Linked DNA regions of Rattus norvegicus. The protein of the gene in region 2 interacts with the protein of the main gene of each other region in a pairwise test. Links are inferred from orthologs where the notes say so. Each region holds a gene or a part of one and is shown on either strand. Other genes may lie near its edges.

Region 1 (5,906 bases), on a different chromosome or scaffold from region 2:
GGAGGCTGCCAGATTTCTTTTATGTTTCTGAAAATTAGTACCAGTATGCACTGATTCTATAGTACTCAGTTAACATTAACACCTATCCAAATCTCTATTAAATGTGTGTGCATGAAGTATGTGTGCATGAAGTATGTGTGCATGAAGTATGTGTGCATGAAGTATGTGTGCATGAAGTATGTGTGCATGATGTATGTGTGCCTGATGTATGTGTGCATGATGTATGTGTGCATGAACTATGTGTGCCTGTTGTATGTGTGCATGATGTATGTGTGCATGAAGTATGTGTGCAAGAAGTATGTGTGCATGAAGTATGTGTGCATGAAGTATGTGTGCATGATGTATGTGTGCATGAAGTATGTGTTCATGATGTATGTGTACATGATGTATGTGTGCATGATGTATGTGTGCATGATGTATGTGTGCATGAAGTATGTGTGCATGATGTATGTGTGCATGAAGTATGTGTGCATGATGTATGTATGCATGATGTATGTGTGCATGAAGTATGTGTGCATGATGTATGTGTGCATGATGTATGTGTGCAGGTACCCACATAACTGTGTGTAGGTGGAGGCTCTCTCCTTCCACTTTACGTATATGAGCTATGGGAACTGAGCTCAGGTCACTCGGCTCGCACTGCAAACGCCTTTCTTTACCCACTGAGCCACTTCACCAGACATAACCAGATATCTTTTTTTTTTTTTTTTTGTTCTTTTTTTCGGAGCTGGGAACCAAACCCAGGGCCTTGCACTTCCTAGGCAAGCGCTCTACCACTGAGCTAAATCCCCAACCCATAACTAGATATCTTAAGGCACATAAAATATATCTTTCCTGTGCGCTATCACCACTATTTTGAGTCATATTTCAAAACAAGTAAACTGGACTTGCCCTTCGGGCTGAATGCCTCAGCACAATGCAGGCTTGGGAGACTTGCAAGGTGACATGTCTTGTTAATGTGACACAACTTAGGAGTGGATGAAGGAGGAGTAAATGGAGAGTTGGTGCTTAACATGAGGCTCGGGGTTTGTGGGCAGACAGTAAACATCTTACTCTAACAGTAAGGAAGCAATGAATGACTCTCTCCAGGTTTGGGGTGGGAAGGAAAACTTGATACAATATCATAAGTGTGCCCACATTCCAGTGCCTCAAATAGGGGTGAGGAATCTCAGCCTGGGAATGGCACCACTGTGAGGGTGGTCTCCTTGAGGGTCAGTTTTCTTCTCCTCAGGGCAATGTGGGCAGAAGCGCCAATCAATGCCCAATGGCACCTCATGCTTATGAGCTACAGGATGGAACTGTGAGTCCTGCTCCTGTGGTTTTCCAGTACCAGGATCCATCCCTTGACTGCTGTGCAAACATGAAAACTTTTACACAGACACGCATGGGCTTCCTCATGCATGGGTGGGATAAATACTGGGTCCCTGAAGGCGAGGCCTCAGCAGGAAGATGATGGAGTACTAGAGGGTTCTAACAAAAGCATCCATGGCACTTGAGGGTAGAGTCGGAACTTCCTGACAAGGAAGAAGTTCCCTGCTACCTGCAGACCTTAGGGTGTCTCTGAGCATGGGGCACATGTCCAGGTGCTGTGTGGTTCTTAGCCTTACCCATCCAGAAGGACTCCCTAACCCCTGCCACAGGCAGAGGGGACACCCTCCATCCCTACAACAGGCAGAGTCATGCAGTATTTCAGGCTTCATGGTAAGTCTCTGGGGGTTTTAGTTCACCCTGTTCATCTACCTGAGTTTCCCCCATACCTTAGTGATGTGGAACACTGAACTCCAGGCATGACATGGCCCTTGCTGTCTCGAAATCAGAGCAGCCATGATTACCCAGCTCGGAGACCCTCACAAGACCACGCCTACATATGTGCTCTCATAGAAGGAAGGGTAAAGTGCATTAGACCCTCACCCAAGATTCCAGCCATTCCCCCTTCCTGTATCCTCCCCCCAATCTTGCCCAAGGATCTCAGAGGCTGCTAGAGTAGACAGGAAACAGAAGGTTAAATGAAGAGAGAACTCCATCTAGCGACTGTTAGAGGTCATCACCCGTGACAAGATGGAAGTGTTCTTAGTGATGTAGTAACCCCTCACCCATGCCCCTGTAACCCCTCACCCATGCCCCTGTAACCCCTCACCCATGCCCCTGTAACCCCTCACCCATGCCCCTGTAACCCCTCACCCATGCCCCTGTAACCCCTCACCCATGCCCCTGTAACCCCTCACCCATGCCCCAGTAACCCCTCACCCATGCCCCTGTAACCCCTCACCCATGCCCCTGTAACCCCTCACCCATGCCCCAGTAACCCCTCACCCATGCCCCTGTAACCCCTCACCCATGCCCCAGTAACCCCTCACCCATGCCCCTGTAACCCCTCACCCATGCCCCTGTAACCCCTCACCCATGCCCCTGTAACCCCTCACCCATGCCCCTGTAACCCCTCACCCATGCCCCTGTAACCCCTCACCCATGCCCCTGTAACCCCTCACCCATGCCCCAGTAACCCCTCACCCATGCCCCTGTAACCCCTCACCCATGCCCCTGTAACCCCTCACCCATGCCCCAGTAACCCCTCACCCATGCCCCTGTAACCCCTCACCCATGCCCCTGTAACCCCTCACCCATGCCCCTGTAACCCCTCACCCATGCCCCTGTAACCCCTCACCCATGCCCCAGTAACCCCTCACCCATGCCCCTGTAACCCCTCACCCATGCCCCTGTAACCCCTCACCCATGCCCCAGTAACCCCTCACCCATGCCCCTGTAACCCCTCACCCATGCCCCTGTAACCCCTCACCCATGCCCCAGTAACCCCTCACCCATGCCCCTGTAACCCCTCACCCATGCCCCTGTAACCCCTCACCCATGCCCCAGTAACCCCTCACCCATGCCCCTGTAACCCCTCACCCATGCCCCTGTAACCCCTCACCCATGCCCCTGTAACCCCTCACCCATGCCCCTGTAACCCCTCACCCATGCCCCAGTAACCCCTCACCCATGCCCCTGTAACCCCTCACCCATGCCCCAGTAACCCCTCACCCATGCCCCTGTAACCCCTCACCCATGCCCCTGTAACCCCTCACCCATGCCCCAGTAACCCCTCACCCATGCCCCTGTAACCCCTCACCCATGCTCCTGTAACCCCTCACCCATGCCCCAGTAACCCCTCACCTATGCCCCTGTAACCCCTCACCCATGCCCCTGTAACCCCTCACCCATGCTCCTGTAACCCCTCACCCATGCTTCTGTAACCCCTCACCTATGCCCCTGTAGACCCTCGCCTATACCCCTGTAACCCCTTGCCTATGCCCCTGTAAACCCTCACCTGCCCCTGTAACCCCTCACCTATGCCCCTGTAACCCCTCACCTATGCCCCTATAACTCCTCACCTATGCCTCTGTGAGTAACCCTTCACCCATATTCCTATGATTTATCCTCAGTCATGCTCCTGTAAGTAAGCTCAATATTTTCACTGGTTCCCCAAGGTAGCTTTTCTGGTATGCCATCAGTACCCTATCTTTGCTGAGCAGAAACAGATTCCCCAGGAAGGCTACACTTGGCCTGGGAAATTGTCATACTAAAGTCACAGGCCTTGTTTCATGCTCTTGCAGTGCTAGGGGCTGTGTGTTTTATTCCCCTGTCTCCACTGTGGAACTACCACTGGTCCTGGCCTCAGATATGTGGACCGAGGTAGAGAAGGGGAAGGTGGGTGGATGAAAGGACTTAGATGCCTAGAGATAACCCTACTCTCGAGACTCGCCTGGTTCTGCCTGAGCACAGACACTTGTTTCTGCAGGCTAATGTTCTCCTCCTCCAGCTCAGAGTAGTCCTGAAGTAGACGGGCCTCCCGGAACTTGTACTCCTTGATGTCATCTCGCAGGCGACCACGCTGAATCTCCACATTCTGGTTGATCTGCAGGGCAGAGAAAAGAGCTGTGTGGGTTACTTCTATAGCTGGCTACCAATTGTATTTCCAAGTATCCCAGAGGGCTCAGCACAGCCTGGTACGCTGGGAGCCCTTTGGGCTACAATGTGGCTGCGTGGAGGAGAGAAGCCCAGGGCCATGGGGTCTGTGCAGAGCAGCAGACAATCCTCAGTCAGATCTCTTCTACTTCTCTTAGCTGCGGGACTTGAGGCAAATGACCCGACCTGCTCTAACCCTGCTGAGCTCACAGGCTTCAGGTGCTCACCCAGCTGAAGCAGTAAGGGAGAATGGGGAGACAGGGAGATGGGTTACAGTATACAGCTGAACAAGGAGGAGGGTTTAGCTAATCTAGGTAGGAGCAATCTGTGAGGGGAGCAGTCTTCAGGCCACACACATCAGGCAGAGACATTCTCTGCACATGGTCAGCAGTCACATTTGGACTAAAGGAAGACACTGCCATCCCTCTAAGCCTCACTAGGAAGGCTTTGCCATTCTCCTGGACCTGAGCAAGGCACTGGTGTCCCTAACACAGCCATGCCCACATCAAACATCAAACAATACACTTCACTCAGGACTTTGCTCACGCCCTTACTCTGACCCCTTTGATCTATCTGCAAGATGGGGCCATCTGAGTGGTAAACTGGTAAGTGGGGCAATACTGGGGCTCGTTTGCCTATGTTTACACCAGAGAATAAAGCACACCCACACAGAACCTTGCACATCAGTGTTCCCAGTGTTCCTGGTGGACACGGCCCAAGTATCCATTGGCAAAGGAATGGATAAACAAAACATGGTCTGTGAAAGCCACATTACGGAATGACGTCTTGACACTTGCTACAACACGAATGAGCGCAAAGACATTCTGCTAAGTCAAAGAAGCAGCAAAGAGCTGTGCACTGTATGATTGCATCTATAAGAAAGACCAGGGGTTGGGGATTTAGCTCAGTGGTAGAGCACTTGCCTAGCAAGCGCAGGGCCTTGGGTTCGGTCCCCAGCTCTGAAAGAAAAAAAAAGAAAGAAAGAAAGAAAGAGAGAAAGAAAGAAAGAAAGACAGACAGACAGACAGACCGACCGACCAGGGGGTTGGGGATTTAGCTCAGTGGTAGAGCGCTTGCCTAGGAAGCGCAAGGCCCTGAGTTCGGTCCCCAGCTCTGAAAAAAAGAACCAAAAAAAAAAAAAAAAAGAAAGACCAGAACAGGAAAGTAGACTAGTGGGGCTAAAGAGGGGTTTGAGAGTAACTGCCAAACAGGCCTCATTCTGGAATGATGAAATACTCTAAGGCAGGGAGGGTGTATCAGCGGAGAGGGCTTGACCGGCACTGAATACAAGGCCCTGGGTTCAATCCTCAGCACCGCAAAAGATAAACAACCATAGAATGGTGCACACACCTATGACTATGGAGATGCTGAGGGGACAGAGCTAGGGAGGGCAGAGCAGTGAGACTGGGCTCGTTGCTCTGGGTTCTGGAGCAGGCATGCTGTTGGTCTGGGGAGGCCATGGAACATCAGGAACAGGGATGAGAAGCAAGACTGAAGTGCATTTTTAAGTGTGTTGGATGGGATGGTTACCCTCTCAATAAAGCTGCTGAGGGCTGGTTTCTGCCTCCAAGTCCTGTGTAAGGAGTTGGGAAGACTGTCACAGAGAGAGGCTAGTTCAGGGCCAAAAGGCTCACAACAAACCAGACTGTGGGAACTCTCACCCTGTCCTGCCTGCACTGAACGCAGGACCCAGGAGCCTCAGCCCTACACATTCAGAGCCACATCATCCTCCACTGTCACTGCTGTCCTAAATGTCGTAGGTTCAGCCAATTCCTGACCTCTGCTCGCTGGCTGCAGACCCTTCTCACACTGTGACAAGTGAAGATGTTTTCACACACCACCAACGCTCCCTAAAGTAAAATCCCCTAAAGAACCCCCAAATCCTCCCTGCTCCTAATGACTGGATGGCCTCCCCAGACACACCTGCCCAGGCCCACAGCTCT
Region 2 (5,906 bases):
TAAGGAAATTCTCTCTCCTATCAAGGGTGAGAGGAAAGAGAACACAGCTAGGCCTTCAAAACAGTTCCTCAGCTGAGTACAGCCCTCTGCGATGAGACTAAGTGTTATGTTGTGTCTTTGGATTACTCTTTAAAGATGGGTGACAAGGGCAGTCTGTGTTACATCCAAATGAACTATTCAAATAAGAACTGGGGATGTAGCTCAGTGGTGGAGCCTAGGCTTGGCATAAGACAAAATCCTGGGTTGGATCGCCAGTACCACCCAGAAAAAGTAAAGAAAGCAAGCACCCGTGTAAGCTTTCCTCAAGTACATGGAGGGAACTTTGTCTACAGACAAAAGTAAAAGCTGATTTGGGGCCAGGGGCACAGTTCAGGTGCAGAACAATTGCCTAGCATACTTGAGGCCCTGGGTTTCATCTCTAACAAGACCAAAAACAAAACTAATTTTTTTTTAAGAGTCTACCAATTACTGCCTTTTAGAGTTTGGCAGCACTTCTGAAATACCATATAACTTTTTGGAATACAAAACAAAAACCTAAGTACAAAAGTTGTCACTGTTGGGTGTGGTCTACAGCACAGCATGGGGAGGGTAAAGGAAGGAGTGTCTGAGCTCAAGGCCAGCCTGGGCTATATGCTGAGACTCTGTTTTAAAGGGGAGAGCAGTGAGCACCAAGCTTTGATTACCAAGCTTCGCAGAACTGCAGGTACAGTTTCAAAGGTCTATTTATTTTATTGTATGTGTATGAATGTTTTGCCTGCACATATGTATGTGTATCATGTGCATGCCTAGTTCCACTGGAGGTCAGAAGAAGGCATCAGATCCCCTGGAACTGGAGTTACGTGTGAGTGCTGGGAATTGAACTCAGATCCTTTGCAAGAACAAGTGTTTGTAACCACTGAACCATGTCTCCAGCCCCAACTCCACTGTTACTTTTACATAATCCACAACGGCAAGTGGTTTATCATTTTCACAAGATGTAACACACATCACAAATATTTATCAATAAGAAAACCAAACAAAACCAATGAGAGATTACCTTGTCTTTGGACTGTCCCTGTCGAGCAATTGCATCATATTTAATTTTCCCTTCAGGATCCACCTGAATGGCCAGTGCATTCGACATTTTTTTCTTTCGCCCCATATCCAGAGGATACTGGGCCACATGGATTTCTGGGAAAGCGCCTCCATCTCCAAAATCCTGTGTATTTCAAGAAAAGAAGTACAAAGACTGTTTAGTAGAGTAGCAATTCATTCAAGCTAGCAAATCTATGCTTGCTATGAGTGACAGCAGTAAACAAAAGCAAGTCTCCATCTTGAACAGGCTATGTTTAGTGAGAAAAGGTATAAAAACAGACTGAGTGTAAGGAGCACCATGCGGATCACGCAGGTCCTGGGAAGAGGCACCGTCTTACTTCCAGGGGAGCAGCTGTGGGGCCTTTAAAGAAATAAAACACAAAAGCAGGGTTTGGGGATTTAGCTCAGTGGTAGAGCGCTTGCCTAGGAAGCGCAAGGCCCTGGGTTCGGTCCCCAGCTCCGAAAAAAAGAACCAAAAAAAAAAAAAAAAACCACAAAAGCAAAGGAGAAAGATCCAAGCTGTGGTGGAAGAGACAGTGTGTGTGAATGCTCGGCCCACAGGGAATGACACGATTAGGAGACGTGGCCTTGTTGAAGTACATCACTGTGAGGACAGACTTTGCTGTCCCTTACATGTTCAGGCAATATCCAGTGTGGCACGCAGTCTCCTGCTGCTGCCTTTGGAACAAGATGTAGAACTCCCAGGTCTTTCTCCAGCACCATGTCTGCCTGGACACTGCCATACTTCCCACCATAATGGACTGAACCTCTGAAACCATAAGCCAGCCCCAATTAAATGTTTTCCTTTATAAGAGTGGCCTTGATCCCAGTGTCTTTTCACAGCAACAAAACCCAAACCCAGACATAAGGGAAGCATTTTCTTTTTCTTTTTTTGTAAGCTAGAGGGAAAGAGAGAGAGAGAGAGAGAGAGGGAGAGAGAGAGAGAGAGAGAGAGAGAGAGTGAGTGTGTGTGTATGAGTGTGTGCATGCATGCATGCGTGCATGCGTGCTGGGACTGAAGGCATACACCACCATGTCTGGCTCCCTAATAGTTTTAAATCAACACAGTCTTTGTTGATTTACATAGACTTTGTTGATTTAAAACTAAAAAACCAAAACAAAACCAAACCAAAACAAAAAACCCCCAAAACTCTGAAGTTTGAACAACTTTAGGTCCTAAATAGATTATTTATATAATCTATTATACTCAATTCCCATTACCAAGAATGTTAGAAAAAGTGAAATTCATCAACAAGAGGATATTTACTGAAAAATAAACTCGTTTTTATAAGTTTTTTTTTTTTTTTTTTTTTCCGGGGCTGGGGACCGAACTCGTTTTTATAAGTTTTTAAAACAGAATATTTTGTTAAATCTTGGATGTGAATTTCTAGCCACAATATGCTTATTTACTGGATACGGTTGAGGTTTTTGAAAACGAACGAATCAAGTGAAAAAGCTATATTCTTGTAAATTAGGCAGAAATAAAGCCTTCCTAAGAAAAGTGCCTTCCTGTACTCAGACCATCAATCTGACACATGCTCAGAGTCACTGAGCTCTTCGACTGTAATCAGCACTTCACAACTGTAGCTGTAGCATTATGTGGTCGTTAACCCTGCCAGAAAAATCACAGCTTTTACTGTGAAAACTACAACAAAATGCCTTCTTCAGAGGACAGCCACTCCCCGCAAAGCACCCTGGCATTTTCAGATTAGCTGGCCACTCAAGTTTGATTTCCAAATGAACTGCTCTGATCCACCAGCATATATAAAACTTTGATAATCAATTAAGACTAGAAAAGCTAACAGCCACCAGATGTCAGAAAGCTCAAAAGCTTTTGTATGAAAAATGAAGCCTGCGGTCCCCACTCTTTAATCCAGGGAACCCCCCCCAACCCCCATGCCCCATCTATAACCTCTTGGAAAGGACACTAAGTACAATTATATAATGCCTGCCATCACTACCTTTTGGCTGCAGACAGGAATAGCTTATCTAGGAGGCTGGAATGCCTTCCTATCTTGTCATGTACCTCACTAATTCCAGACGGAATAAAACCAAAATCCCTAACAACATCAAGACAGGTTTCACAGTACAAAACCCAACAAAACCCTAGGCTATGTTACAGCAAGGCAGGGTGGGCCTTGTTAGGTGCTCAGTTTCTTGACCTGACAGAGTGGACAGAGGCAGCGAACGAGGAAGAGACAGTGCAGAAGGCTTTAGGCAAGACGCTGAGCAATGTTTCTATTCAAAGATACTAGCAGCACACCTGGAGGCAGACTGAAAACAGGCAGAGACCTTATGTATGAGGCAGACGTCATAACCAGGTAAGAAAGCGCTACACATGACTGGAGAGTTGGCTCGGTGTTTAAGAGCACCGGCTGCTCTTTGTGGAGAACTCAAATTGGTTCCTAGGACCCACTTTTAACACCCACTGCAAGGCCCGATTCTGATCTCCAAGGGCCCTGCATGAATGTGGTACACAGATGTATATGCAGGCAAAACACCCAGACATGTAAAATAACTTAATCTCTTTAATCTCTCATGCTGATCTTTATTTTTCGAGACAGTTTCCCTGTATAACCCTGGCTGACCTCAAACTCACAATCTACTTGCTTCTGCCTCCTGGGTGCTTGGACTATAGGAATGCACCACCATATCCAGGCAAAGGGAAGATCATTTAATACAAACATAATATATAAAAGTCTATTAGCTGCTGAGCTATCTCTTCAGCCCAGATAGGTTAAGTCTCAGATGTTTACTTTTCTCTCCAGGTAAGGAAGATGGGCAAATATGTGAAATGCTCACAGGATTCTGTGTAATCAGGAAAATATGGGTTGCTAAGGAAATTACTTCTTTGGAGACAAATCGGAGGTACAGAAAGATCTTTGCTCCACCAAATCAACCAAAGCTTAGCTTTCATTTCCTAAAAATGTATGTGTGTAACATCATGACAGGTATGTGCTAACATTCGCAAACTGGAGATTTAAAAAGCACTGACAAGAGACACTACCGGGGCTTCCCTGGAGAAGGCATCTCTTCGGAGTTGTGACATGGCATTATTTTCATCACTGACGGTGGGATAGGATGAACACAACTCAAATGCAAACCCACTCTGATTCTTCTCCTTACAAAGAGTTCAGATTTTTATTTTATTATTACTAGTGTATGTGTGACAGAGAAAGAGAGGGAGGGGAGGTAGAGAGAGAAAAAGCACATGCCCACGCCACAGTGCTTGTAAGAAAAAAGTTTTGGGAACACATTCTCTTTTCACTATGGAATCAAATTCAAAATGTCAGGTTTGTGCAGCAAACGGGCCACCTGCCCGCTCGTGTATTTGTATTGCCCTTTCCCATTATTGCTCATGTGCTGTAAGGCTTACACTTGTAAAGGTAAGCTGGCTCCTGTACACGTTGAGTAGTTCAGCACAACAAGAATGAGAAGAGTGATCACTGACCATGACAGTAAGAAGAAAGTCGTTGCAAGGAAGAACACACTTTCTCAAAGGAGCACTGCATGGCTGTAACCACCACCCTCCAGGGTTCAAACTGACCTTCCAAGTGTACAGTAGTACACTTCAGCCCAGTTACCTCTAAGAGTCTTGGAATCCAGCCTTTCCTGTATCCGTATGGGGGAGGCTCCCTTCGAGAGGAGACCAGGGAGGTCTGTCGTGATCTCTGAGATCTTGCCCTTTCTTCAGCTTCAAGTTGGTCCTGAGATAGCTGGGTAGGCGCAGGTAAAAAGCTACAGGAAATCAAAGTCGGAATTTAATTATCACGATTCAGCTATGATATTCCTTTGCTTAGCATATAGACTTTTCAATGATTTATAGAGTCATTCAATCATTACATCCTTATGGGTGGAAGGGTAAAAAACCCCTTGACTATGGCAAGGACAAATGCTTGTCTAGACTTAAAAACAGAGCTTTTTTTTTTTTTTTTTTTTTTTTTTTAAACAAAGCTGATAAGCTGCAGGTTTCTGTCTTCCTATACTTTATACAGAAGCCAACCTCCAGCACATGGTTTCCTAAGAATCCTTCCTAATTTTTGTTTAACAAGGTCTAATGAGGTAGCCCAAACTGCTCTTCAACTTGCTACCCTCTAGACTCACCCTCTAGACTTCTGAGATTATAGAGGAATTTAACACTATGCTACTGTGCTTTCCTATTGTTTTGTGTCTGTCTTTCCTTCCATTTTTTTCCCTCTGGAGACAGGGCCTCATTGTATAGATCCAGGTGCTTCCCCAGTTCTGGGATTAAAGCTCTCTAGCGGGGTTGGGGATTTAGCTCAGTGGTAGAGCACTTGCCTAGCAATCTCAAGGCCCTGGGTTCGGTCCCCAGCTCCGGAAGAAAAAAAAGAAAAAAAAAGCTCTCTAGTCCCTCTATCTTTCTGCATTATGATTAACTAATCATTTACCAGACTGAGCAACCTGAGAGTAGGAACTGCATCTTGTGCTTCTTTTGTCCCTAACTGTCCCAGCACCCTGTCTGGTAACAGGAGTTGCTCCAATATTTCCAAGAGTTTCACTCTGCCCTTTGCAGTCATGGTTTTGCAACACAGCAGTCTTCCTGCCTTTACTTAAACAAGCCATCTCAAAACCTTTGCCAAAAAATATTAAAGATTTACCAGGAATGTTCTTAAACTTACTTATTAAGGGTCTCACTGTGTAGCCCAGGCTGACCTCAAACGTTTCCCACACACCAAGCAAACAAGTGATACTCCAGCAGACTGCAGCTAGGCACTTCCTAATTCAGTTCAGTCCCCAGAGACTGAGGACTCAATACCACTGGAGTGCCTCTACTTCCAATGACAATTGGAGACTTGGCCACCAGGACTTTG

What was found.
Region 1: the proteins of Snw1 (region 2) and Bicd2 interact in binary tests that used the Homo sapiens proteins (3 or more experiments, as listed by UniProt). The link is inferred for Rattus norvegicus from reciprocal best matches to the Homo sapiens genes SNW1 and BICD2.

Annotation. Positions count from the first base shown.
Region 1 is NC_086035.1:15,475,584-15,481,489, forward strand, and holds part of Bicd2 (protein bicaudal D homolog 2), read right to left. Parts: intron 3,914-5,906; coding exon 3,761-3,913; intron 1-3,760. UniProt on the Homo sapiens protein: Acts as an adapter protein linking the dynein motor complex to various cargos and converts dynein from a non-processive to a highly processive motor in the presence of dynactin.
Region 2 is NC_086024.1:112,842,417-112,848,322, forward strand, and holds part of Snw1 (SNW domain-containing protein 1), read right to left. Parts: exon of another isoform or gene 4,813-5,906; coding exon 4,659-4,812; intron 1,199-4,658; coding exon 1,037-1,198; intron 1-1,036. UniProt on the Homo sapiens protein: Involved in pre-mRNA splicing as component of the spliceosome. As a component of the minor spliceosome, involved in the splicing of U12-type introns in pre-mRNAs.